Linked DNA regions of Kluyveromyces lactis. The main gene of each other region encodes a partner of the protein of the gene in region 2 in a complex. Links are inferred from orthologs where the notes say so. Each region holds a gene or a part of one and is shown on either strand. Other genes may lie near its edges.

The links.
Region 1: PRP28 (region 2) and AAR2 share a complex: the UniProt entries of both Saccharomyces cerevisiae proteins name them as parts of the U5 snRNP complex. The link is inferred for Kluyveromyces lactis from reciprocal best matches to the Saccharomyces cerevisiae genes PRP28 and AAR2.

Annotation. Positions count from the first base shown.
Region 1 is NC_006041.1:1,818,933-1,822,024, reverse strand, and holds AAR2 (U5 snRNP complex subunit AAR2), read right to left. Parts: upstream 1,577-3,092; coding exon 503-1,576; downstream 1-502. Other genes in the region: RPS8A (40S ribosomal protein eS8), read right to left, coding at 2,442-3,047. UniProt on the Saccharomyces cerevisiae protein: Component of the U5 snRNP complex that is required for spliceosome assembly and for pre-mRNA splicing. Involved in splicing pre-mRNA of the A1 cistron and other genes that are important for cell growth.
Region 2 is NC_006039.1:1,338,919-1,342,352, reverse strand, and holds PRP28 (mRNA splicing protein PRP28), read left to right. Parts: upstream 1-1,294; coding exon 1,295-2,914; downstream 2,915-3,434. Other genes in the region: PEX5 (Pex5p), read right to left, coding at 1-783; active spliceosome conformation promoter CWC2, read right to left, coding at 3,356-3,434. UniProt on the Saccharomyces cerevisiae protein: ATP-dependent RNA helicase involved in mRNA splicing. May destabilize the U1/5'-splice site duplex to permit an effective competition for the 5'-splice site by the U6 snRNA, resulting in the switch between U1 and U6 at the 5'-splice site.

The DNA.
Region 1 (3,092 bases), on a different chromosome or scaffold from region 2:
GGTCTCGTTCTATAATAATCCCAGCTCATCGCACAATTATCTTACTTTTCGCCCTTAGAAAGACCGAGAAGCTTCCTAAAATTCTATTTTAGTTTTCTTTTTCCCTATTTTCTGCACTTTGCAAATTGCAGATGTTCCATAACGATCCACCACAAAAGCACCACTTTTCTTTTCAGGTTCTCTTCTGTGTGATTCGATACGTAATGATAGTGTTGGGAGCTAGGCTGGGTACTACACGGTTCAGGTCAGACCATTCGGGCGCTGTCTGATATTCTGTTGAGTGAATTTCCTTCCATGTCATGTCCTGTCCTAACCTGTCTAAGCGAGGACTAAAGCTTGATCCGCATTGTGCGTCAAAATTTTTATCCGGAGTAGCAATTAGTCACGTGACTTTGTGGCATTTGCTCCTTCGCTTGCGGGTTTTTTCTAGTCCCCTCTGGCAGGTTCTGAAAATATAGATTCGTAAGTAGCTGTCACGTGATTGGTTTTTCCCTTGTGGTTGTTATCTGCTAGTGTATACCACCTGGGATGCTATCGCTGGTGCATATTCGTTTTCGTCTTCGTTGTCATCTTCGTTGTAGCTACCTTCGTGGTCTTGATCTTCTTCTTCAATATACGTCTCATTGAGGAATTGTTCCTGGATTAACGTCTTCCAAGATGGTAATGGCACTTTACTGCGCCTGACACATTTTTGCAAAAGTTCTATGTTGATGAGAAATTCTCGATATTCTTCCGGTATTCTCTTCATCTGCGTGCATAACAAACTATCCAATTGTTCCATAATCTCTTTATACTTTCCTTCTGTAAGGCAATCGCTGAAGCAGACTAGTTCAATTATGTTATGCCATTGTAAACTGGATCCATAGTTGGCGAACAATATGCTGTTCAAGTAACTGAATTGTAGTTCTCCGAATAATGATTTCAAATTTGAGTAATGATATTTTATTAGTATCACTTGCATTAGATACCACGATTTATCGAGAAAGTCTTGCATCTTGAATTCGGGCCTCATCGATTCAGGGTCCTTGAATCGAATTGGAGTATATCGAAACGTGATCTCATCTGTTGGTGCCAATATCATATTGTGTCTAACATCACCAACCCTTTTCTGAAGCATGTTGGCTTCTTCCATGCTGGTCATTGAGGAATCTACGTATACATATGACTCGCTGTTGAATTCGCTTTCGCACCATAGTCTAACTTCCTTCCAGCGGATATATTTCACTAATTCTTGCCATTCCTCGGAATACTCATTGCTTGGGTATTCTACCATCAAATGTTGGCAGTTATCGAACTTATTTACAGCAGAGTTGTTGTCAATTTCCAATTGAGGTACCATTATTTCCCTGATTGGATCGAATTGGAAGTTGATGAACTTTTGACGATCTGAGTTAATCCAGTACCCGTATCTTATCCCACTCTCATCTCGTTGGAAATGTAAGATATGAACGGTGTTCCCCTCATGTTTCGGTATATGTTTGAATCCATGGAACGGTTGTGAAGCTGGTAATTGGAAATGGTTCAAATCAATGCCTATTGTAGTACCAACAGGTACGTTATCTAGAAAGATATTCATATTGTGTCGTGCCGAGAATCCAAGCCTATGACTACAAAAGAGATGGGATTTACGTCGAATATGGGAAGCACTAACACGGACCGAAAGATCTGATTATCAGAGTAGACATATAAACTAGATATTCATGTTCCATAGATTGCACCTTATGGCGTGCCCTAATGCTTTATGAAGCTCTGCGCTAAAGCCAACAACCTGCATCGTCATACATGATCCATGAGTATAAAAGTATCAACAGTTTTTCACCAGTTCGAAGTATAAAAAAAAACTGAAAGAAATTGCTTTCATAATATTTATAAACTGCTCGACTCACGTTTAGAAGAGAATATGGTCTTCGTCTCTATAACCTCACTTTCATTCATTAACCCAATCAATGTCCGGTGAATCTAACGACAAACACACTGTTCAGAGGAACAGTGGGGCTGTGACACTCTGTTATGGCCTTTTATGCTTTTCATTTTATTTTAACGTGATGAAACAAATTTTACACAGACCTGTACTGAATTCTCTTTTTTGAATCATGCAGATAAACACTTTTGCCTTTTTTTCTGATCATTATATCACATAACATACATCTTGTCTACTGTTCGTACATTATTCCATAACAATCGTTTTCTCAACATTCTGTAGATACACGCTTTTGAGATGGACATCTTGAGCTAGTAATCGGAGCCAGAGTTTTAACTACCTTGCATAAGTACTGATGGTACTGAAACTGAGAAAGTTATAAGTAAAAATACTATGACTTATTATATTTTATACATTTGTAAAGATATAAAATGACCAAAAGAACCTTTGGCTGTGATAATAACGGTTAATAAGGAGTTTTGATAAATTGGCGTATATGTTAATTTGCGAAGGAGTTGACTTATTTCTTAGCAGTCAATCTTCTCAAGTAGAAGGCCAATTCTTCACCTTCCAAAATGTAACCATCACATCTACCGGATTGACCTGGTCTGGAAGAGATAGCAGCGTACAATCTACCAGCACCGAATTGAGAGTCAACGGCGTGTTCGATCTTAGCTTCAGCAGCTCTGGCAGCCCACTTTCTTTCAGTGTTCTTAGAGGTGGTGGCGGTTTCTTCTTCAGCCTTAGTGTTCTTCTTCTTACCCAAAGATTGACCGTAGTGAGATTCGTACCATTGTCTGAATGGGGTAGCATCGATTTGAACGATAGCTGCCTTGGTCAAAGTGTTAGTTCTAACCAATTCATTGTTGGATGGATGGTAGACGACACCAGTGATTCTGGTCTTTCTAGCGACACCTTCGGAAGCCCAGGAGAAGTTACCAGTTTCAATTCTCAAAGCTCTGAACTTCTGGTTACCACCTCTGGTTCTAACAGGATGAATTCTCTTAGTACCGATCTTGGTGTTGGCAGCTTGACGGCCTAATTCGAACTTTCTCTTCTTTCTGAATTGAGCACGTTTAGCACCGGTAGCAGCTCTTTTGTGACGAGAATCACGAGAAATACCCATTTTGCTTTACTGTAGATAAAAGCTTTAGTAAAAGATGTTAGTAAA
Region 2 (3,434 bases):
TGTTGCTTTACCAGTCATATAGCGAGCGTAATCTTTCTCCCATTGAGAATCACTTGTTTCCAAATTATTATCAGCCGTCTCCGCTTGTAACTTATCCCAGACTTCTTGGAAGTCTGCTTGATATCCATCCTCCACTACTATCTCCTCCTTGGTTTCCTCTTTATTGTCCTCCATGGTCAAATTTTCAGCCACAGCCTTCTCCAAGGCTTCAAACTGCTCATTCCACTGCTTGTCAGCGAGAACACCATCATCACTGGACATTTGCGGTGTTTGCTGAGACATGTGAGAATAATTATGTAATGAAGAAATACCTGTATGCATCATCGGCCTCCCGATCCGGGACATGCCAGGCCTGTATGAACTCATAGAATTTGTGTTGCTTATTCTTTCAACATTATTGACTCTGCTGGCTAAACCCTGTTGAGGAGATCTGCTATTAAATTCATTACCCCAGCTCCTGGAATGCTGAGCTGTATCGCCTGCTGACATATTACTGCTTCCACTATCTTGTTTCTTTAGTCCAAAACGAGGACCATGCGAAAGAATAGCACTAGGAACAGGCGCCATTCCCAACTGACCATCAGAAAAACCAGGTGACCTGTTCATAAACTGGTCCATTTGAAAACGATTTGCATTGGATACTTCATTCACATGAGTTTTGAAGTTTTGAGCAACATTACTGGCCGGATTTTGATACCCCACTTGTCTCAGAGCAGGATTCTGCTGGGCATGTTTATTCAACTGCGCGAGAGGATTTGATCCAACGGAACAATCTGCACTCATAATTGTATTATGTCAAATGAGATGGGATATTTTCTTGTTTTTAAACTCTACCACCTCCCTTGATGAGCTCCCTTAGTCTATGCTTAGTAAACCCTTTTAGCTCCCTTGATGATTGATAATAAAGCTACTAGCTCAAACAAATGAACACAATGACAAGTTCTGCGTAGAAAGTATGTAGATTTGATATGTTGATGAATCCAGTTATATATGAATTCAACCTTGGCAATGTCATGAAAGTGTTCGGTTAGTTTGTTTAAATCATGATTCATCAATCTCTGGAGTTTTTCAAAGCTCCAGAGATTGATTGAGATTATCGCCATGATTTTTCGGAACAGGTTTGGGGCGATGTTATTACCCGGACATATACCGTATTAGGTTATTCGTGGCGACAATATCAGAAACTGTGCCTTTAAGTTCTTTAAGCTTTAAGACGGTGGAGCTCATCTCATTTCTCAAAGGTATTGCAATATTACACGATTGTAAAGATGGGTAGAAAGTATCACACTTTACCATGCTAAGGCCCGTCAGTATTGATGACTTAATATCAGACACAGTTCCTGCGAAGAAACCTCGGTTTCTGATCAAGAAACGAACATTTCCACAACCAGAAGAAGAAGAAGCGTCAAAGGCATTGTCACACACCGTTATCAAGAGGAAAGATAATTATAGGAATCTCGACGAAGACGAACTATACGAGGAACAAGTATCTAATGAACCAGATGATTTACTATTCCTAGCAAGAAAATCCGCCGACCTTTTGAAGAAACGACAAAATGAAGATGAAAGTATTGTCGACAATTACTTGGGGAAGCATTGGTCTGAAAAGAAATATGAAGAGATGAGCACTAGGGATTGGAGGATTCTATCTGAAGACTTTAATATCTCGAGTAAAGGTGGAACAGTAGAGAAACCTCTAAGAAACTGGCACGAATTAAAGTTAATTCCGGAAGATTTGTTAAACATTATTACAAATGATTTGCACTACAACGAGCCAACATCCATTCAGCGCAGTACAATACCGAATGTTATAAACAATAGAGACTTCATTGGTGTTGCTAGTACTGGTTCTGGTAAGACACTTGCATTTTTGCTTCCAATTCTTATAAAACTTCACGGTATACCGCCACTTAATTCAATTACTAAACATGATGGTCCTTTGGCATTAGTATTAGCACCAACAAGAGAATTGGCACAGCAAATACAACATGAGGGGCAATCAATTACGAAACTATGGAAACGACCTTGCAATATCGTAAGTATTGTTGGTGGACATTCCTTGGAAGAAATTTCAGCAAACCTAAGAGATGGATGTGATATATTGGTTGCTACACCCGGAAGGTTACTTGATTGTCTAGATTCTCATCTTTTATTTTTAAAGCAAGTAAATACGTTAGTGTTGGATGAAGCGGACAAGATGATAGATTTCGGTTTTGAAGATCAGTTGACTACAATTTTAGCAAAGACAGAAACAATTTCCAATAGACAAACAATGATGTTTACGGCTACATTCTCACCTACCATAGAAAAAGTTGCTAATGGCTATTTGAAAAAGCCAAGCTATGTCACGGTTGGAGGAGAAGAATCTAAACCAAAAATTAAACAAATAGTACGGTATGTTCCAGATGAAGAAGAAAAACTTAAGATACTTGTAAAAGATTTCCTACCAAATTACAAGGCTCCTATCATAATATTCATAAATTACAAAAGAACAGCTGACTGGTTATTCGACAAACTTAGAGAGGCTCGGTTCCGAGCAACAACTCTTCACGGCTCAAAATCACAGGAACAACGTGAACACTCTTTAAGTCTTTTGAGAAATGGGAAAGTAGATATTCTCATAGCTACTGATGTCGCTGGAAGAGGTATCGATATACCTAACGTTTCTTTAGTAGTGAATCTACAATTTCCTAAGTCGTTTGACAGCTTTGTGCATCGTGTAGGTAGAACTGGACGTGCTGGTAAAACTGGTACTGCACTTACTTTTCTAACCGAGGAGGAAGATCATTCTGCCATGGCTAAATTGTTCGATTATGTCAAAAAGAACGACTTCACCGGAGAAAATTACATCTCAAAAGAAGCTATGTCGAAATACAATGTTGACAAATCTTCATACAAACCAATTATTATATGAAAGGACTAGACTTTTTTCCTTGAAATTTTAGAGTCATGCAATATGAATTAGAGTATTTAACGTAAATAGTTACAGTGTGCTAGCTAATAATGCATTTAGGATTCCAGGTCAATCCTGGAAATACCCAATGGTCTGACGATTCATGCGTTCTTGTTTGAGCCTGTGCCTTGTCTTCCATTTTTTCGGATGTCTGATTCAAAATTATCGTGTTTTTTGATGAAGGCCAAACCGTAGACTGACGAAGTTCAAGTAAGTGAACTCGACAAAACAACTTCGACATAATTTGAAAACCAGGCATTGATAGCTTTTATATTCATTTCAAATATTTGCAATGTCAGTAAAACAAATCTGAAATCCGCTAGATGTTGTTCATGACGGCAACCAGTAATCCAAAATATACCTAATCTGGAAAAGTCAATGTGTCACATGACTTCACGAAATCTAGTCTTCATCAGATGAATATTGGGTTACCAAAGGTAAAACCGACGATGGTTTTGAAACTGTTATATTTGCAGCAACG